3 linked regions of the Notamacropus eugenii genome follow. The protein of the gene in region 3 interacts with the protein of the main gene of each other region in a pairwise test. Links are inferred from orthologs where the notes say so. Each region holds a gene or a part of one and is shown on either strand. Other genes may lie near its edges. The genes, in order: CCDC174, PDCD4 and EIF4A3.

Evidence for each region.
Region 1: the proteins of EIF4A3 (region 3) and CCDC174 interact in binary tests that used the Homo sapiens proteins (3 or more experiments, as listed by UniProt). The two-hybrid records come from large-scale screens. The link is inferred for Notamacropus eugenii from reciprocal best matches to the Homo sapiens genes EIF4A3 and CCDC174.
Region 2: the proteins of EIF4A3 (region 3) and PDCD4 interact in binary tests that used the Homo sapiens proteins (3 or more experiments, as listed by UniProt). The two-hybrid records come from large-scale screens. The link is inferred for Notamacropus eugenii from reciprocal best matches to the Homo sapiens genes EIF4A3 and PDCD4.

The regions. Positions count from the first base shown.
Region 1 is NC_092874.1:430,515,780-430,523,862, reverse strand, and holds the start of CCDC174 (coiled-coil domain-containing protein 174), read right to left. Parts: upstream 3,061-8,083; 5' UTR 2,975-3,060; coding exon 2,840-2,974; intron 2,491-2,839; coding exon 2,386-2,490; intron 1,806-2,385; coding exon 1,705-1,805; intron 746-1,704; coding exon 687-745; intron 1-686. UniProt on the Homo sapiens protein: Probably involved in neuronal development.
Region 2 is NC_092872.1:188,639,261-188,646,198, reverse strand, and holds the start of PDCD4 (programmed cell death protein 4), read right to left. Parts: upstream 3,030-6,938; 5' UTR 2,943-3,029; intron 2,486-2,942; exon of another isoform or gene 2,153-2,485; intron 911-2,152; exon of another isoform or gene 778-910; intron 1-777. UniProt on the Homo sapiens protein: Inhibits translation initiation and cap-dependent translation. May excert its function by hindering the interaction between EIF4A1 and EIF4G. Inhibits the helicase activity of EIF4A. Modulates the activation of JUN kinase.
Region 3 is NC_092873.1:322,650,679-322,657,686, reverse strand, and holds the start of EIF4A3 (eukaryotic initiation factor 4A-III), read left to right. Parts: upstream 1-4,001; 5' UTR 4,002-4,165; coding exon 4,166-4,334; intron 4,335-7,008. UniProt on the Homo sapiens protein: ATP-dependent RNA helicase. Involved in pre-mRNA splicing as component of the spliceosome. Core component of the splicing-dependent multiprotein exon junction complex (EJC) deposited at splice junctions on mRNAs.

The sequences.
Region 1 (8,083 bases), on a different chromosome or scaffold from region 3:
CTATGCCCAGTGACAATGTCATTGCCTAGAGAACACAAAGGTTAAGTTTTTTAGAGAAACACTGGGTAGAAAACAGAATGACCGTTCTCCATAACAGACAAAGCAATCAAGGACAGTACCAGTCTAGAGGACATTATCAATGTGAGCGGGGAGAATCAAGTCACCTGGTATGTGGTGGACCTTATTTGACCTATTTCATAAACAAATTCATTAAATTGTTTTATGAGATTTTGCTACATTAAGGTTTAAAAAAAGAGTCACAGGAATGCTACCTACTCACTTAATACATATTTAGTCAAAGATTACGATGAATAACACAAAGGGCTAGGAGAATACAGGTCAACAGAAGTATTGAAGCAAAACCTGCCCAGAATTTGACATGGTGCCTGGTACGAAGTGGAAGCTCCTGTCAGAGCCAGGACCGCTTCCTTCCTTGTACTTGTGTCCCTAGTTACCATCACAGTGCCGAGCACATAGTAGGTACTTGTTGAACAACTGACATGGAATCAGAGCTCAATAAATTTGATGATTTGATTTAACTCCTTTTCTAGCAAATACTCATGAACATCTGGCAGCTTTCTTCCCCATTATTACTGTTGTTGAAAAACAAAATACATAATTCAATAGGGTTTTAAGTGAAAAGACAGAATTAGAAACACATCAACATCTCTCAGTTGAATATTTACCTAAAAAGTCTCCTTTAGTCATTTGTTCATACAATTTGGCTTTCTCTTCTAATTTTTCCCTAAAAAGAAGAAACACATATTAAAAAAACAATAGTACTTTCAACCATAAAACTAAACCCAATTCAGAGTTACTAAAGACACCAAACTAGAACTGGCATTAAATGTCAAGGAGGCAAGAGTTTTCCAAACACTAACAAAAGGCCTTCTATCTGCACCTTTCAGAAAAGACAGCCACAGACACGCTAACAAGAAAGCACTAAGCCTTCTTAATAGAACTGAAAGCTAGTGGTACTCACAGTATAGCCTCAACTGCCAGGGAGCTACACCCAGGTAATGTTCAAGCTGATGTCTCATCACATTGGTGTTTATATTATTACAAAGCAAGTTCCTTTGCCATGAGCAATCTTTCTACTGTTACTACTACTACTGCTACTGCTACTACGACTACTACTATTACTACTACTACTACCAAAAGTTGACATGTATTGATCACTTCATAGTGTGTAAAGCACTTTATAGACATGATTTCATCTGATCCTCATGAACCTTCTGTGAGGTTAAATATACTACAGGTACCGTTATTCTCATTTTACAAGAGAGTAAACTGAGGCCCAAAGAAGGTAAGGTGACTTGCCTGGAGTCACAAAGGCAGGAGGAATAAGGTCGGTCGTCCTGACTTCTTGGTCTAGCACTGTCTAGACTACAGCATATGATCAGATGACTCACTGGCATTTTATCCAAGAAATGGCTGTTCTGTCCATTAACTCTGGTGAGACTTATTTTTTTGCAGTAATAAACAGGACCAAGTCGGGACAGGTGATCCAGTCTTTTGCCACAACTAAATTAGACCACTGTGCTGACTTCATAGGTAGGAAAATTTAGGGAGCAACCAAAACAATTTCCTTCTTCTTGGAGATCTCCATTTTACTGGCATGTTTTAGATATTACTTTACCTAAAGGCTCATGTTAAATCTCTCAAAGGTGAGGAAAACACACATTTCCTGGGGCTTGATGTTACCTAGACTTGTCTAAGGTCTTCTGCTCCTCAAGCTTCTGTTCAGCATCTTTTTCAGCCCGTTCTGAAACACCAACATTCTGTTTGTTCCAGATACTTGGTTTCTGGGGAATATAAAAAAAACCAAACAACACAATAAAACCAACATGTGACTGTTAGTAAGACGACTACTTAATAGCCGGAGAAGGAAAACAACTTGCAAATAACTGGTCAATGGAATACAAAGCCTACTTATGGTGCCAGATACAATGGGAGCTCAGTCATGGATGCGCTAACAACAATTTCTAGACAGTCACATAGTATCACTAGTAGCATTAATCTGTTCCCTAATTACAGCCTCACTGACAGCTCTAATTTTAGAAAACAACATATCTGAAGAACAATGTTCATTGTCCAACTACAGGTAACAATGTAAATGAAGCTAAACCACTCAAATCTAAAGCCATCAGCAGCTTTTAGAGCCCTCCTCAGTACGTTCCTGTTGTTCTGATGCTCTCATTTGGCAGCTATTCAGTATAATGACGCAAATGGATTTTTATCCTCTGGGGTTATATTAGAGCTATTTATTGATAACAAAACATGTGAATAGACATTGTGGTCTACCATTCACCAGGTTCAGGAAATAATATCTATAGTTGTGAAAAATTTTATGTCTGCAAGAAATTAATAAATGTATTTTTCTACCTTGTTGGTTGATTTTGGTTTCCCTGGAACTCCAGCATCTTTGAGAAGTTTTTCTTGTTTGAATTCTTCTTGTTTTCGGAAAAGTTCAGCTTTGAGGTCCACTATCTAGAACAAAAATAAAAAACAATCACCTTTACCTTTCATCAAGCTGAATGGGTGATAACCCAAGGGGATGAGGACTGTATATTGTCCATGTGATGGTCATGTAGTTACAAAGACAGCTGGTTAATCCATCAGTACATATATGTTGGACAACTGAGTAAGAAGAGAAGATTGAGTGGATCAGGTTGCCTTGAGGAAATTGGGGAGCGCTCTGAAAGATCTCAAGACACTCCCTAACACAAAAGCTCATCTTAATAATAATGTTCTCAAACAACAAACTTTTATATGAAAGAGTACTCCAAATCACTAATGAATGACAGAAATTAACATCAAAACAACTCTGAAGATTCACCTCATATTTGGCAAGTTGATAAAGATGATAAAAGACGGACGTCGACATTGATAGGGTTGTAGGAAAACAAACCATCTGATGCACTGTGGGTGGAGCTCTGAAGTGACTCAACAACACGGGAAAACAATGTGGCATTATGCTGAAGAAGTGATGGAAAGTCCATACTCTTTGATCTGGAGATCTCAGTAGTTGGCATATATCCCAAAGTCATAAAGAAAGATCATATATACAACAAAATATTCAGAGCAGAACTGTTTGTAAGTAGCAACGAACCAGAAACAAAGCAGATGCCCAGAAATAAGGGAATGGCTAAACAAACTGTGGCACATGAATGTAATAAAGTATTACTGTACTATAGAAACGATGAAAATTCAGAGAAACACAGAAATGCTTATTCCATCTGCTACAAAGTAGAGAAGAGAGAGCCAAAAGACAACAGACACAAAGAAAATCATAATGTAAATGGAAAGGATAATAACAAAAATGAATGCTGAATAAATACAATGACTGAACTTGACCCCTGCAAAGGTGGGAGACCACAAGTATGGAACATTACATACATCACCAACCTTGGATAATACGTTTGATACGCTGAACTGCTCCCCCATGCACCCTTCCCTCCCTTTTAAACTCTGTGTTACAAGGGGTAACTTGCTGCATATGGAAGAGGGGAGAAGCATTCAGAAATGAATATATGAAAGTGATAGCCACAATACCAGCCACAATTTTTAAAAATCATGCTGTCCTTGTGATTCTCAATGGCTTTAAACCATGGAAAACCATGATCTCCAAAGAATTAAACCAAAAGACAATGAAGAAATTCATGGCACATATAAGTAGGCCACATCACATTACCAGTGACAATTTGTGCCTAAGAAATGGCATAACACAATTCATCCAGAAAATGTAGGAAAAGAAACAGAAACTCAAATCTCACTGATACAAGGAATCCTAGATGAAAAAATTCCCTCTATCAACACAAACTGGTATCTTTGCTTATCTTCTAGTCTCAGAATTGCCTCAGGCACAGAGAGGTTAAGGGACTTGCGAGGGTCGTACAGCCAGTACACAGCCAGTACGTAGACAGAGGCTCTCCTGGCTCCCCAAGGCCAGTTATTTGTATACAACCATGCTCTGAGATGGTGGGAATGATAGGACACTCAAGTGCTGCACTGGTACTCATTACAGGCTAAAAAATCCAGAGTATGGCTCCTAATGCATCAGGGAGATGTTCCTCAGAAGATCTTGATTATTAAACATAACTGAGAATCACAAAGGAGAAAGCATGGGTAGCTGTGATCACCACCACTAAGGAGATTTGTAACACTATCAAAATATTCAAAAGAGGTAAATGCAGTAAATACACGTTAAAGGGGCTAATAAAGCAAACAAGATCTCTGATAAGGTTACTGACTACAATATTGAAGCAGTGAGCTGCTTCATTAGGGAGCTGGATACAAACTCAGAAGACCCAGGCTTCAGTCTTTCAGTGCCATCACTCAACAGCTCTTTGACCTCGAGCAAGACACATGACCTTTTGGGCTTCAGTTCTGTAAAATAAGGTGATTAAATAAGATGGTCTTTAAGGTCCTTTCCAGAGCTTATAGGAATGCCTGTTCTCTTGCCTTTCTACCTTCATCGGTTTTTCTTATCTAGACAATTAAATTTCTATTTTGGAAAAATATCCCTAATGTCACTTTCTGGAGTAAAAGACAGTTTCATTTTCTGAATTTAATTTTCTTGAACAGATGTTAAGCTTTTATCTTTTCCTCTGTGCCTTCCCTAAAACAAATTCTTCAATCACAAGGGCATAAACATACCTCTAAATGACACTTAGAAAGGATCACAAAATTTAAAGCTGGAAAGGAATGCAGGGGTAATTTAGTCCAACTCTTTCATTCTCCAGATCCTATTTCCCAATATCATACTCTAAGAATCCATCCCCCAGACTATATGCAGGAACCCAGAACCATCCCTACCTGGCTACTGGGCTGAGCTTCATGAAGATCGTCTAGACTCTGCTTTTTAGAGATCTGGCCTCCCTAAATCAAAGGCTACAGCACTTGACATGCTTAACCACCCTCTCTACTTTGGGTTCCCATGACTGCCCTCTCTTTGGTCTACCCGTCTAACTGCTTCGTCTTAGTCTCTTTTGCCAGACTGCCATCCATGCCATGGGTATGGTGGGTATGCCCCAAGGTTCTGTCCTGGGTTCTCTTCTCCTCTTTCTGTGTATTATTTCAGCATCCTCCACCAGTTCAATTATTATCTTCATGGAAATGATTCCCAGACCTTTTTATCCAACCTTAGCCTCTTTCTCTCAGGTATCAGTCCCACATGACCAGTTGCCATTTGGACATTTAGAACTGAATTGCTGTCGGTATCTCAAACTCATGTGATAAAAACAGAACTCATTTTTCCCCTCAAGCCCTACCTTCTTCTCAACTTTCCTAACACTGTTAAAGCACACCCCAACTCCAGTGTTACCCTCAACTCCTGTCTCTCACTCACCCGACATACTCAATCAATTGCTAAATCTCATTTCTTCTTCTCCAGTATCTCTCTTGGACATTTCCTCTATACTCACACAGTCACTACCTTGTTGTAGGACCTCAGTACCTCTTGCCTGGACTACTGCAACAGCCCTTTCCCTTTGTCATTTGCCTCAAGTCTCTTCCCATCATATAATCCATTCTCCACTTAGCTGCCAAAGGGATTTTCCTAAAGTGTTGGGATGATCATGACATCCCTGTTACTCAACAAATTCCAATGGCTCCAACATTCAATATAGAGTCCTTCGGCATTTAAAATTTTTCACACCTTGGGTACTTCCTACCCTTCCAGTCTTCTTACATTCTGTAAGCCATACTCAATGAGCCAACCAGACTAGACTACTTGGTGTTCCTCCAACTCTATCTCCTGTCTCTTTACTTGGTACTGGAAGTTCCCATGCATGCTGACAATGCTCTCTCTTCCAATCCTACGCTCTTGGAGTCCCAGGTTCCCTTTAAGACCCAGCTCAAGGGCCATATCCTTAAATAGGCTTTTCCTGGTCCCCCAGCTGCCAGTGCCATCTTTTCCATTGATTCTGTATTTATCTCTTGTTATGATTTTCATGTTGTTGGCTCCATTAGAAAGGAAACTCCTTAAAGGCAGGAGTTGTTCTTGTTTTTGCTTTGCATTGCCAGCACTAAGGAAAAAAGTATGACACAGAATAAGTATTTTACAAATGTTTACTGATGGATGAAATGTGGGATCTATGAGGGAGTGCTACTGGAGACTTCCAAGCAGAGACTTGGTAATTTTTCAGGGATGTGATGGAAGGGATTTCAGGTATAGGCTGGACGATGTGGCTGCTAGGGTCCTTTCTGATTTGGAGATCCTTCTGTAATCTGAATCACAGAAAGGACCTCTCTATCAGAACCACACATTAAAAAGTTCAGAGAAGAAGGGCTCAGAGGAACTTTTGACTACTGTAAGGTCATAGAAAATAAGAAACAAAAATAAAATAGGTCATAAGTTGTAAGCCTGACTCTTCTACTTACTTGTTGAGCATGTGCAAGTTATTTTATTTCTTTGGGCCTCAGTTTCTTTACCTGTAGATCAAATTAGCTCAGCCAGATAATTTCCTAAGGTTCCATCCAGTTTTAAATAAAGAAAAAATGGGACAATATTATGTTCGTAACTTAGCTACAAACTGGCATACCATTAGCAAACACCTCAGGATCCCATTTTATCCCATTCAGTTGTCTTTTGGCTGGCCCTTCTTTCCCTGTTGATTGAAACATCAACAAAAGACTGGCAGGTCATCAAAGTTTTGTTGGCCACCCTGATGCCCCCATGTGCGCCATAACCCAGCAGTATGCTTTGGGCTATAGTCTGCTAGTCTCCACAACAAAGAAATGAATCTCCCAATCTTTCAAGGCAAGAGAACGAACAATGTAAACAGATCACTAACATCCTGGCTGGTGAGAATACAGGGCTGAATTTAATGAGATTAATTTAATGGGATAAATATAAATTCTTATACACGTGTTAAAAAAAAAAAGTTGGAGAAGAGTTTCAAAAAGATTGGTGGCATTAGTAAACCACAGGCTCGATGAGTCAATGGTAAACGTTAGCCAAAAAAGTCCATGGAATCCTGGGCATGAAGGGAGGAAGGAGGTGACAACCGTGCTGGACTCTGGCCCCTTCAGACCCCATTGAAAGAATTCAGTTTTAGGCACCAGGGTTTAAGAATGGTATTGAAAAACTAGAGACTACAAAGAGGACAACAAGGATGGTGAAAGGCACTGAATCCATGCAATGGAGGAGGAGCTGAAGGCAGCAGAGTTGTTTAGAAGAGAAGACTCAGGGGAAGCATGGGAGCCATCTTCAAGTTTAGGAAGGGCTATCACATGGAAGGGGGATGAGATTTTTTTCTTCTGTTTGGCTCCAGAGGACAGAGCTAGAAATAAAGGGCCAAAGTTGCAAAGGGGCAAATTAAACTTCGTGTGAGTATAAACTTCCCGATGACTTAGGCTATCCCAAAGGGCTAAGAGAGGCCCTTGGTCACTTTCCCCTCATTGGGGAGCTTCAAGTAAAGGCTATAAGCTGCCACCACCACCACCACCACCACCAACCCTGCTGCTTCTGTTGTAGGGAGATTCTTTTTCAGGTGTGGGTTAGGCTAGCTGACCTCTGGAGGTCTTTCCAGCTCTGATGTTCAGTGATAGTGTGACCAGGAATCACGAATTATGTCAGAGAATTTCTGAGTTGAAAGGGACCACAGAAGCAGCCTAGGCCAACCCATACATGACCAAACAAAAATTCCTACAAAATCCTCAATATGTGGTTGTCTAAAGTCTTCTTAAAGACTAGTGACCAAAATGTACATCTTACAGTATTCTAGGGGAGCCATAATCCTTGTGTTCAGGAAGCTCTTACTCTTCTGGAGCATCTGAAATCCATTCCTTAACACTAAGAAAGGATCAGATGGGGTCCAGAAATGTACACCAACCTGATACCTACATTTGGAATACAAAGATGACTTGCACTAGACTTTGTTTTGAGTGAGGGAGGGCTGTGCAAGGTCACCAGCCTCACTTTCTCCTCCTGAGCCATCTGGATCCAGGGACCAGATATTCATCAGGATGACCTGAAGATGTCCCAGGATGCAATAGGAGACCTTGGTCCATTCAGGTACTCACTTAGAGTGAGGTTACGGCCATTCAGTGAACAAGCCTCTCTAAGAAGGAATCAGTG
Region 2 (6,938 bases), on a different chromosome or scaffold from region 3:
ATTCTTTTTACTAAATAACATGAAAATATCAATATTTAGGAAATGAGTTGGAAAATTATGTTACTATTCTCTCATTGCTATCAAAACTTTCAGCAAAGAAAAAAGTCCAACTTTATATGGTTAGTTAAAACATAAGCATCTTAGTGATGCAGGCACAGTCTTTTGTGAGAAATACCAAGTGGTATTTTTTGTAGCACTGATTTTTACCTCTTTGATTTATGAATATCTGAGAAAAAACCTGACCAAATCATTCCAAAGATCCCTGCAGTTTTATTTGGAAATTGAATGAACCCATATTGGCACAGGGTAAGGGTACAAATGCAAATAATCCAGGAGCCAATATCTGCAATATTCAGATTTCTAAGGTAAAACTTAAAAATCATTAAGTCATTTCTAATCCTCTCCTCCCCCTCTGACCTTCCTCAGAAAAAATCATGCTGAAACTTTGGGAAACAAAAAATAACGTCACCCAAACCAGGTAAGCAATTTAAAAATCAGCTTCACTTTTAAACATCTGCTCAAGAGCTTATTGATATTATCTACCAAGCTCCCAGACAAACACTGAAGATTAATGAAATTATGTTTGCTGATTGCCTTGTTTTATTTTACTGACAGAACTGTTACTTCACAGGAATATTTATTTTGATAGAGGTGGTACCCAATCGCCCTTATTTGCATTGATAGGATTCATTTGATTATGCTTTTTTAAAAAGATACTGATCCTAAACTTTCCAATTAGTAAATTGCAAAAACTTCAGGAAGGAGGCCAAGCATTACCTCCTTAGAACAGATGTGGTGTTGCTTTGATCCCCTCCAGTTCCTGTCCCTTATCTGAGATAAATCTCTTTCCCCAGCAAAATCAAGGCCTACTTCCTATGGACTTTGCTCACTGGACATCAGGCACACCTCTCTAAGGAATAAAGAGAAACCTCTCTTTGGCAGAAATCAATTCCTAACATGTGAGAAAACCCTAAGCCCCAGCTGCGGGCTAGCCCTCTCAAGAGGAACAGTCCAGAGGTTTCAGTATGTGGATGGGTCTCTTTTTCCTGGATGCTGGTGTCTGGAGAGTGTGCCTACAAATACAAGGCAGATAGTCTTCTTTTAAGGCTCCATGAAGGGGAGAGTCAAGCAGACTTCCTCTTCAGCAGGAGGATGGATCCTTTGGGGCCACCTCTTTGTAATGGAAGGAAGGACTGCGGGGGAAAAGAAATTCTTTCCCTTCTAATGGGGGGGGGGGGGGGGCGGTTCAAAGAAAATCAAGAGGAGGGGAAGAAGGCTTCTCTCCTCTAAGAAGGCCTGAAGGAAGCCATTAGAGGAGGAGGGCTCTCCCCTTGAAGAGAGGGTATTAGTGGAAATGGGGTGCTCTCCCGTCTAATGAAAGCTGAGGGGCAGGAATTCTCCCCCTAACGGGGGCTGGGAAAGCGGGAAGGGAGCCCCTCCCCCATAAGAGCGGGAGAAGGAGGGCCTGAAGGGGAAAGGGGGGGGGTCTTCACTCTAAAGGCGGCCGTAGAGGAGCGGGGGGGGGGGGGGGGGGGGGGGGAGCCTCCCCTTTAATAGCGTCTGGGAGAGGATGTTTCCCTTCTAACGGGGGCTGGAACGGAGGAGGCTTCTCTCTAACGGGAGCTGCAGGAAGGAGAGGGAGGGTCTCCCTTCCAGTGGGGGGCCGCGGGGGAGGAAGGGGGCGTCCCCTCCTAAGTGGGAGCTGGAACAAGGGGGAAAGCCTTCCCTTTTCACAGGGATTAAGAGGGATATTCCCCCCCAACGGGAACTGGACAGGGGAAGGGGGCTGAAGAGAAGGGAGGATCTCCCCTCTAACGAGGGCCAGAGGGGGGAAGGGGCGGAGGGGAGGAAGAGGTGTCCTCTCCCACGCGGGCTGGAAAGAAGGGGATGGTCTCCCCTCTAATGGAGGCCGAGAGGAGGGAGGGTCTTTCCTCTAACGGGGGTCGGAAAAGACAACGAAGGCATCCCCGTTAACGGGGGCCGGGGCAGATGTGGGGTCCTGCCCTTAAAGCGGGCCAGAGAGGAGAAAGGCATCTCCCCACCAAGGGGAACCGAAAAAGGGGGGGCTCTCCCTCTCGGGGGGCGGGGCCCTCTCCCCAGAGCGCTTCGTGGCACGGGGCAGGGAGGGGGAGAGGGAGGCGGGGAAACCAACCTCCCCGCAGTGGCCGGCGCAGGCGCAGTCGCGGTCGCAGGGGGCTGAGGGGCCTTCCCCAGGGTCTCGGGGGAGGGGGGGGGGTAGGGCTCAGAGGGTCCGAGGCTCGGTCCTCCCCGTCCTCAACGAGCGGCCGCTTCAGCCAGGAGGGAAAGGAGCCTGCCGGCCGCCCAACCGATACTAACCCCTCCTCGGGCCCCCGCCGCCGTTCGCACCGCTCCCGCGCCAAGCTCTGCCGCCGAGGCCGCTGCTCCCGCTGCCGCCTCCTCCGCGCCTCTCTGGCTTCTCTCGCTCTGTTTGTTTTTGTTTTCTTCTACCCAGTAACACGGGGGCGAGAGGGCCGCGCTGATTGGCCGGAGGGCGGCGGCGGGTTGTCCAATGAGAGAGCGGCGGAGCGAAGGCGAGGGAGGGAGGCAGGGAAGGAGAGAGGAGAAGGGAGCTGGTCGCGAGAGGAGCCTGCGTAGGCGCATGCGTGTCTCGCTTCTCTGGAAGGGAGTAAAGGAGAGGGAAACGGAGGGGGAGAGTGGGGAAATGAGCAGACTGCCAGGCCGGTGCCCTCTGGCTTTTTCCTTTAGCGCTTCTTCCCCTTGCCTTGTCCTGTTCTCAGGTCTGCACACAGAGAAGCACCGCCTGCCTTGAGCCTCCCCTGGCGCCTCTCCCTAAATCCCCTCCCCCTTCCCGCAGTCCCACAGCCCCCCCAAACCCCTCGGAGTGGTGGGTGAGAGGGTCCCGCCGTGGCAGGACAGCCTCGCCTCCCTGGGCCACGCGGTCCCGAGGCCGGGCTGCAGACCTGCCGCCTGGCCTGGGGCTGGGCGAGCTGGCTCCCCGGATCTCTAGCCGCGCTTCAGCCGCTCTGCCTCTTCTGTCCTGCAGAGTCTTAGCCCTGGAAGCCCATGATCACATGAGACAGATGGGCGTCCTTTGGCTTCCTTTTCCTCGAGCTGGGAAGAATCTTAAAAATCCTCCAGATCCTACTCTAGAACCCGAGTCTCCCAAACCGGGCTCCCGCAGCGGGTCATTAGAGAGCTCGGGGGTCCAGCCCTGCTCCCGTTGGACCGTGGTGGGGCTGGGTCGTGGGAGCGGACAGGGTGGCACGATCCTAAGGGGCTTAGAGAAGAGGGAAGGAGCCGGGTAAGGGGCTTTAAAAGCCAAGAAGAGTTTCTACTTTACCCTAGAGGCAATAGGAGATGAAGTGACTGGGTGAGACCCGCACTTCGGAGGAGAGATTTGAGGAACATAGAGGAGTCCAGACCAAAGGGGATGAGAGTTGTAGCTGAGGAACTTAAGGAGCAGATGGTGTGAAGGTAGAAATGAAAGATCTGGGAACAAATCAGATGCGTGGAGAGTGGCACTGTGCTTGTGAGCCCAAGTGAAGGCAGGATGGTGATGCCCTCTGGAGTGGGGAGGCTTGGGGGGAAAGATAATGAGTTGTTTTGGATGGATGGGTTATGTGGAGGGTGACTCAGAGAGGGGAGAGTCTAGATAGGGAAAGGAATTAGCAGGCAGATTGGGCTGTAAGATCTCTAACTTCCATTCTTAGCATCTATGTGAGATACAAAGACGCATCCCTGCAGTCCTGAGAGAAGTGAGGGCAGTGCTAGTCTGGGATAAGAAGCAGGTCTTAGATTTCACCTGATGTGCATTTTATGACTACCTCGCTGGACCTGGAAGCTCTCACCTTTTGTAAGACAAAAGGAAGATAATATGTGAATCCACATTTAAAAGACATATTCCATATTTGTTGGTGAAGGGAGTGGGAAGTTAATAAGTTAATGTTGATAAATTACTTGGAAATGTTCAAATGAAAGGATAAAAAATAAAAATTATTATTAATGATGGGGTTCAGAGTCTGGGAACCTCCTTGAGCTCCCCTTGAATCTTCCCACTTAATCTGGCCTTTCTTACTCAAATCTAATCTTCCCATTAGTTCCGGCAGTCTCCGGAAGCCATGGGATTTTCATTATCATTCTATTCAGATCTCTGTTGCCCCCCCCCACCCCCACCCCCACCCTTGATCCCATCAAAACCCCCTTTCCCCAGGCTGCCAACCACACCCATCAAGATCTGTGTACATTCCCACACTGCCCCTATCAGGATCTCTGGATTGCCCCACCTGCTTCCCACCTAGGTCCCCCTTAGTCTGTCTCGTGATAGCCTCCAGCTGTTTCCAGCCTTTGACCCTCCTTGGATTCCCTCCTTGGACTTTTCTTCAAGATCCTTTCTAAATCCATCCTCCCATCACCCTCTACTACCAGACCACCCCCCAGATCCCTCCTATACTCTTTTCTGTATTTAAGTTCCATCTTGCCTCCATGAAGGCGCTCAGATTCAATCCAGCTCAGACTGTCTAGCTGGGATTCTGTCTGGCCCGCTTGTAAATACAAGCCTCACAAATGCTTAGGCTCCTTGAGAGGCAACCCAATCTGGCGAATCTTTAATAAACTTTGTTTTCTTTGGCTTTAAGAAAGCTTGAGTCGAATTCATTCGAGCATGACCCGGACTGTCGGTATCTTGGGGTCCATGATCACCCCTCAACCTCATCATTACCACCCTTGGAACTGCCTAAATGACTTTTCTTCCCCCATAACCTTTTCATTTAAGCAAATCCTGATTTGAGAAAGTAAGGTAACCTTAATAGCCATTTCTTAAAGTATGTGTTCTCCAAAACTTTGTCCCTTAGCCCTCTTTTTCTTTTCTCCCTATAACTGTCTCCCATGGCTGTCTCATGGATTGTCAGGCTTGGATAGAAATTTAAAGATCATCAGGCCTAACTTCATTTTACAGACAAGGAAAAAGAAGAACTAAAATAATTTACCCAGTCACAAAGTTAGTAAAAAGCATATCAGTGACTGTAGTCCACCTCTGCCAATTTCTTTGGTTTTCATCCCATTGCCTTCTGTATGTATGTCATAGTCTCTTAATTCTATTCCACAAACATTTTGATTCCCTACCCCACACCAGACATTATGCTAGAAGCCAAGGATACAAAGACAATTCCTGCCCTCCAGAAGCTTATGTTCTACTAGCAGGATACAACATATTCTCATACAAATAAATAATGAGATAGTTTATGGTAATCTGAATCTCCATCCCTGGCTTCTTTCCAAAGTTCCAGACCTTCATGGCCAACTACCTCAAGGACATCTCTGTTTCACTTGGATGTCCTACTAATGCTTCATACTCAAAACTAAATTTGTTTTATTTTCCCCAAAACCTGTTCTTCCCTTACTTCCAGAGAAGCTTATCTCCCAAATTAATTCACAGCTCTGGGACTCACTCTTGAGAGGAGCTACCTGAGCTATTGATCAGAGGATAAATAAAGGAAACCTCACCTCAACCTTCTATTTTTTTTTCTGTTTTTTAAATTAAGTTTATTTGGTTTTCAACATTTACTTCCATAAATTTTAAATTTTTCCCTCTCCCACCCTCAACTCTCTGTTTTTAATCCAGACTGAGCTTCATCTTACCTAGCCATCCCACCAGAACACTCAGTTTAGTGCTCTCCATATAGTAGGTGCTTCAGAATTGTAGAATTTGATCTAATTCCTCACTTATTTTGAAGTACCAGGGTATTGATATCCCCATTTTTCAAATGAAGAATCTGAGACCCAGAATAGTAAGAAGGTCTCACTGCTGGTAAATGGTAGGGCCTAGACCAGAACTTGTATCTCCAGAGCCCTGGTGATGCTTCCAGTGACCTTCCTATCACAACATGTTGCTTCTCTTTAGTAAAGGATTAAATATTCAAGTCTAAATACAGTGAAAGCAGTCCTAAAGACATTGACAAGTTTGGGAAATAAGCTAACAGATGTTTAGAAGCTATGTTACCAGGGACCAGGACAATATTTAGAAATTTTTCTCAAGAGTAAAAAATAAAAATTATTACACTGTCAGCAGGGCACAAAGAAGTAACCATATTTTAAAAAGATGAAGTACTAAGCAGAAATAAAAGCCAGTAAGTTTTCATTCCCAGTTCATATTCTTTTTTCCCCAATTCCCTTTTTGAGTTATATTCTAAAGCAGTGATGTCAAAACTCCCATAGAAAGGGGGAGGCCCCGTGCAGCTACTAAACTATCCATACATTCACTGCAGGTCTCATATTGACCTAGAATACCGCATAGTAGAATTATCTATTTTAATTGTGTTTTTATTTATCTTGTTAAGTATTTTCCAATTATATTTTAACCTGATTCTGGCAGCGCTCAGGAGTGTTGCAGGCCACAGTGCAGCTGGCAGGCTGTGTGTTTGATACCTCTGCTCTAAAGCACAACCTTGGAGAATGTGAGGGAAAATAACTTTCCTTACTAAATCAAGCCTCTCTTGCTATATTTGGGACTTTGGGACAGTTTTAATTATGACTGCAATATATCAGTTAAAGATTTACTTCTCAAAACTCTCTTAAAAAAGATCATGTACCTAGACTGACTAAAACTCTCTCCTCTGTCACCCCAACCCCTTGTAAGGACACCATCTAACCTACTTGTTTTATATGATTAACACATCACCACACCTTAGCTATAATTATATAAGCTTTGAGAAGGTAAACCTACTCACATTCTCCTCCCTCTGGTTCAGTATCACAACTTCAGTCCCACTTAGTCCTCAAAAAGTTCTTCATGTCCTCTGATTCTCAGATAGTTTGAACACTTCTCATTTTTTTCTCCGATGAACTAAAACGTGTCACTGTTTTTTAACCAGCCACTTGAACCAGTTAGTCACTGCATGAAGTCTTTTCTTGCCTCTCAAAGAAAACTAAATGATAAGGTCCAAAAAGAGCCTTTGCAA
Region 3 (7,008 bases):
AAAGATTCATGATGGAAAATACTATCTACATCCAGAGAAAGAACTGTGTAGTCTGACACATACCATTTTCAGGGTTGGTTTTTTTTTTTGGTATGTTTTTGGTTTTTCCTATGGTTTTTCTCTTTTGTTCTGATTCTATTTTCACAACATGACTAATGTGGAAATATGTTTAACCTGATTGTACATGTATAACCTATATCAGATTGCTTGCTGTCTTGGGGAGGGGAAAGAGAGGGAGAGAGAAAAAATTGGAACTCGAAATTTACAAAAATGAAAGTTGAAGACTATCTTTACATGTAATTGCAAAAAATAAAATACTATTAAGTGCAAAAAAAAGTTAGACCCTCATGAATCTTTAAAGTTTCTTATATGAAGTACAAGGTTTATATAAGGATAAAAATGACAAGTGGTACATAAAAACCGAGTTTCTCTTTAGTTTCAGGATTGGAAAACCAAATTTAAGAGATTGTACTTGCATTAAATCTTGTTACTACTTGATTTTATCAGAATTATCTAGGAACCTTTAAAAGTGATTTGGAACCAAAGAAATTGAGTCTCCTTTGGAGCTGCCCTGAGAATGAGGCCTATTCCAGCATGTTCAAGGGAGAAGATATCCAGAGAACAGACAACAAGAGACATCTGGTACTCAAAATGTGTTGATGAAAATGGGAATTGGGAGTGGGTTACTAGGATACAAGGAGACTTCATTTTAGATAATATTGATGATCATTATTGTGTTGGTTTAGCCTTTTATTTCATGGTGTTTATGTTTAAGTTTTCATGGTTACCCTGGTGAAATATAAATTAGTCCACTGTAAGCCCTCTAATTAGCATGATCTATATAACCTGACTGATGTAATTTATGAATATATGAAAAATCTTATGGATTTGGCTTATAGATAAGTGATCCATGGAGGGAATGAGCTGCCACTCTCCCATGAAAGAAAAGGGGAAAATTGAGGGAACTGAATTGTGGGAACTGGGTGAACCATATCAGGTCCATCTTGTGAATCAATTCTGGAGCTAGCTGAGTTCCCTACTCAGTTAGTGGTATATTTCACTTTCTGTCTTGTGGGAAAACTTTATTCAGTTGTAAGAATTGGGGGAAAACTCCATTGCACTGTTTGAACCCAGCTCTGCATACTTGGGAGGCCTGTTTAGAGATCCTTAATTAAGACCAGAAACCCAATCAGACCCCAAAATTGATACAAGTAGTTTTCTCACAATTATACATCTCAAGCAATGTCTTTTCTGAAAACTGGCCCCATACTGATCACTCATTTACTGTTATCATGTTCCTCTGATTTTTCACAGATATGTGGGGGAAGTGGAATATCCTTTTGATTTCAAGGAACTGCACCTGTTTCCTCTTCTAACCAGTAAAGTCCCTGATCTTTCTTCTACTTAGAAGTCAGTTTATCCAGTGTTATATTCTGGTTATTTCCTCTTACTCAATTGGTCTTACTTGATTGTTTTTAATGTATACTAATGTGTCTCCACCTGCGTTTGAGGTCCACTACCAAAGTTGAGGAAGGAGACTGGTCCCAATTTGTCAGGCAAGTAGCAGCATTGCTGAATAAACCAAAATGCTCAGAAGTGCAAGCCTTTTTTGGTTTCCTTAGTCATTTCATCTTCCACTTGCCACAAAAAGGCAAATTATCACCTGGGAATGGAGCAAAGGAAGATTGAAAGAAGGATGATGTCAAGGTGATTTGAAGTATGGAATATAAGTATTAGATAAGGCCTTCTGCTAAGAGAGAACAGGGAAGGTATTGGTACGGGCAGCTTGAAGAGCGAAAATACACTTTGGGACAGACTTTCAAGACTGTGATAGTTCATCGGGAAGAATAAAAAGATTGGCATACAGGAGTGAGGGTTCAGTTGAGACAAGATAACACAAACTTATAGTAGACCTAGTCAACCGGATTTTATGATTTCTTCCATTTGTGTTGGATATATAGTCATAATAAACAGATTTTCTAGCACTAAGTTGGGAATGCAGCTCCTTGCATGTGATAATCATTTGTTTGCCAGATGCAATAACACTTGGGCCAGAAGTAACATAAAATCTTAAGGCTGGAAGAGACCTCAGATGTTACCTAGACAAATGATCACCTAGCTCCTGCTTTCAAAATCCTCTATATGTTTAAATGCATAAATGGTTGTTGTCCTTTATTCTCAAAGAGGATCAAAATGACATCACTATGTTGGAATAAAGGTACTGTGTCCAACTCTGCACAATACAACAGCTTGGAACATTTTACCTCAGGTCAGGTACAGTCCATATGAACATTTGGAGTGGCGATGTCTCTAAATTTGTGCATATGTGACAGTTGCTAAATTTTCTTGAAACAAGAGCTGTTTTCTTTCAGGTCTTTTTGACCACAGAGTAGAATCCTCGTCTGCCACAGTAAGCAGGCCAGGGTTGGGTAAGGTAGACAATTTTTAGGTCACCTTTTCTAATCCCTTCCTCACACCAGGAGTTAAAGGGTAGTCCAAAAACAGCTGCTCAGACACCCAGGTGGCTACCAAATCCCACTCCTGGCTTCCAGTGAGAAGAGGTCCCTGTGGCCTGGCCACCTGTGTGCAGCACTGTGACTACCTGCTGCTTGGTCACTTACCTGTCAACACAGGGCTTTGAAATAGGTAAAAATGGTAAAATGGAATAGGTGATGTTTTCTGAGGCACATAAATACACACAAACACGCTTATCACAGTCCTTTACCTGAAATAAAAGGTTTATTTTATACATGTTACTTAGGAGAAGCAATGTGGCATGGTGGAGAGGGAGGAAGACTTAGTCCTCTCTGAAACACATAATGCCTATGTGACTACGGGGTAGCATAGCAAGGTCCATAAAACTTTTAAACTTCTGTAATAGTTTTCACGTCTGGTCTCTGAAGTTCTATATTCCTTTCTTATGTGTGTAAGAAGTTGGTTTTGCTCTTTAAAATTATGTAACAACTAGTGCTATACTTCTTCACTTTGAGGAGGAATTACTAAATGGATAATCCCTTTTGTAACATGCATTCTGGGCTGCTCCCTCAACTTGAACTTGTACTGGCACTCATGGGTTGGGTCCTCAGAAAGGAGCTGCTGCCAAGAAGTTTTAGAAGGGTATCCAGGAGCTACTCACTCCTAATAACTTTGCAAGCCCCCACCAGCGGTTGGCAATCAACCAGAGGACAAAATTAGTTCTTAGCAAAGATATTTACTAAGATGATACAGCAAAGGCAAGTTACAACCCCCCCCCCCCCCCCATAAAATTAAAGTATGCCCTCCCACAACGTCCTCCAGAGGAGTGGGCATACACGGGATAATCAGGTCTTCACGAGCATGCGGCCCAAGCAGTGGGAACTCCAGAGCCTGGAAGTCCTCTCTCTCCTCGGGGAACCCAAGATCTAGCCCTCAGTGCCGTGTTTCTGCGGGGAAGATCCGGCTGGGCTCTCGATCCCTTACCATCTGCCTTCTCTGCAGCAGGGGTCCTGTTCCGCCTTCCAGGGAGTGTCTTTCTACACAAATGTCTCTCAGCTGTGCCTACAACTCTCAAATGCGTGGACGGGAAGCGTCCCGAGGGGCGCTCGCTGCCAGGTGCCACGGTCACGGGAGGGAGGCAGGAGAATTCTCTGCGTGCCCCACAAAGCCAAGCCAAGCCATGAATCTCCCCGCGGGGCTTGGCTATTGAAAGCCCCCAAATAATGATTACGAACCAGGCCTGAATGCCGCGGCTTCTTCCCCAGCCCAGTCCTGCACTGAAATAGTTTCTTTCCTAACCCCCATATTCTCTCTCTGATCCTCAGGGTGGAGGCCCACTAGAAGCTTAGGAGGCTGACGCCACTAAGACCCTAGGCCTACGGGTAACTCCCCCTCCGCTCCCCGCCCCCTCCAACGGAAAGCGCGGCGCCTTCCCCGGTCACGTGACCTGGAGAGAACAAGGAACCGTCGGATCCGCCTGGGCGCACGTTCTTGTGCGTACGCGCCTATGCGTGCGTGCTTGCGCACGTTCGGACGCACACCCGCCCACCCCTGACCTTAACTACGGAGATGGATAGATGACGGCGCAGCCTATCAGCTGCTTCTGTGTGCTTCTTTCTGGGGCCTCGGCGTGCGCGCGCGCGCGCAGTTCCCTGCCTCCCCTCAACCCCTTTCCGGCTTCCCAGGCAGTATGGCTGCCACAGCCACGATGGCTACTTCAGGTTCTGCTCGGAAGCGGCTGCTGAAGGAGGAAGACATGACAAAAGTGGAATTCGAGACCAGCGAAGAGGTGGATGTGACCCCCACCTTCGACACGATGGGTTTGCGGGAGGATCTGCTGCGAGGCATCTACGCCTACGGTGAGCAGGGCGCGGGCGCTGCCGGGGGCCGGCTGGCCGAGGCGGGCACGCACGCTGCTGGGAGGGAAGGACGCCCGGGCGGGGGAGAGAAGGGCAGATTGTGTTCAGGGCCAGTGCTACGAGGTGCGCTCTGGTTAGGTCGGGTGTCGTTGTAGGCCTTCGGGCAACGGGCAGCCCGAGCAGCTCCAAGCTCCGCCCCGCGGTGACCTCATTGGGAGGCCTGCCTGCCCGCTTCCCTCGCGGAGTCCTCGAGCTCGCTGCCCCGAGCATGCTACGGAGCCCGCGGAGGGAGGGGTGGGGGAGGAGGAGCACGCTTCCCGGACCCTCATAAGCAGAGTAGCAGAGTTGGAGAAACCATCTACTAACTTCAGTCTAGTTCAACCTCCCATCTCTCAGCTGGGGAAAACTGAGGCTCCTAGAGGGAAGTTCCACAGCCAGTTAGTGGCTCTTGACTGCTATATGCTTGCTGGACTAATGCATTTTTCCACCAATTAAAATCCCTCTATTCTAGAATCTTTCTGCTTTGTATCTTTATTTTCTTTGGGAGATGATCGATCTCTAGTCCAACTTACCTCATTTTACAAATGAGAAAATGAGCTTTCACAAAAGGTTTCTTGGGAATGTTTGAACACTGAAAGTTAGGTACTCCAGAGAACTATAATTGGCTTAAGAGGAAAACACAAGTCTACGTTAGTTAGAATTCCAGCATTATAAATCGTTTCTATTTTACAGTTCGGTAACCTATCTTTAAAGTATAGTGAGGTTAGGGTGATGGAAAATTTGCATAAAATTTTCAACGTAATTATATTTTACATAAAGTTCACTTTACAAAGGTTTTTCCTCATAGCATCCCCATAAGGTTGGAAGTACAAATATTATTATTCCTATTTTACAGAAAGATATACTGAGACTTAGAATCTATTTTTGCTCAGTCTCTTGACTCTAATGTTGGGGTTCATAGTCATATCCTGGTCTTGAAATTCCAAATTTAGTGCTCCTGCTACAAGATCATTATTAGTAAAGTAGCAGATAGTGATTTGTAATTAATAAATATTTAATTGAAATATATTAAATGTTTTTACTTAGCCTAACAAAGGGGGTGAGGGTGTAGCATTTATTAAACACCTTCTATGTGCCAGGTGTTATGCTAGGCACTTTAAAAATACTATCTCATTTTATCCTCAGAACAATCTACTATTATCTCTTTTTTAAAGTTGAGGAAACTGAGGTAAACAGGAGTTAAATGCCCTGTGCCACACAGCCAGTAAGTGTATGAGGACAGATTTGAAGTGGAAAAAATTCTCAGTACATTAATGTGAAAAAGTTATTGAGTTTAGGCTAGATGCTCAGTGATTCAGAAGACCCTGAAAATTCATAAGGAAAAATATTTTGAATTTTTTATTCAATAATAATATAAACTCCTAGTTGTTATTTAAATCTTCTTCACAAGCTAGCTCTTCACTAGCGAAGGACAGACTGACCACCTTCTAATCTTATTATACTTAAACACACACACATTCAGCCAGACTGCCTCATGCTGATTCTCACACAAGGCATTCCATCTTCTGTCTCTGCTGCTTTTCCATAGATTTTGTTCCCCATGTTTGGAAAGTATCATGGTGGGCCCTTCAGTTCTCCCAGCCTTTGATTTGAACTTCTGACCTATAGCATCTGCTTTGATATGGCATTTTTTTTTTTGACCCACCTACATAAACTCTTATTTGGACTACCAACTGTGCAAAAGCTGGTTTAACTGTGGACTTGGGGTAATCGCTGAAGAGTCATTTGTTATTTCAGCATCCATAAAGGGTAGCAACTCTTTTTCCAAGTGTTTCAGTATTATCAGTTTCTTCTATCTGAAATAGATAGTATATTTAGCAATACTGTAAACTGAGAGTCTTTAACTTCAGACTTCATCTTACCAACAAATCTTCAATTATGAACACAGATATATAAATTTTTTCTTGTTTTTAAGTAATTTCATTTAAATGACAAATATATTTTATCCCCAGTATCTCACATTTATTCCTTCCTGCCCTTTGAAACCACTACACTAACTCAGGCCCTTATTGCCCTCTCATTTGGATTGTTATAAAGCCTCCTAATTGGTTTTCTTGATTTTAATCTATCTGTTTTCCAACCAGCTTCCACACAGCTGCTAAAATTGACTGTGTATGCCACTGCTTCCACCCCTACCCCCGCTTGCCTCTAGAATGAAATAAAAACTTCTTAGCCTGACACATTTTACATTACTCTTCTTTATAAAAGTCTACATTTCCAACCAGACTGATAAAGATTTCCTAAAATAATGCTCCATTTCCCAGCTCTATGAGTTCACACATACTCCTTCCCCATACATGGATATCTACTCCCTCTTTATCTTTGCCTCTTAAAATCCTTAGCTTCATTCATAGCTCAGTTCAGGGAACACCTCATTTCCTGATGACCTCCATCCTTTCGTTTTTAGTGTTGTCTTCCTGAGATTATCCAGTTGTGGACCTGTTAGGTAAAGGTCACATAACAAAGTAGTGGTAAACCTAAGAATAGAATTCAGGGCTTCTGATGATCTTTAGCCTGCTCTTTCCATTGCACCAGTTCTTTTCAACAAACATTTATTACACACCAGCTTCATGTAGAGCACTGTGCTAGATTTACAGAGAGGAGTTTGGAAGAC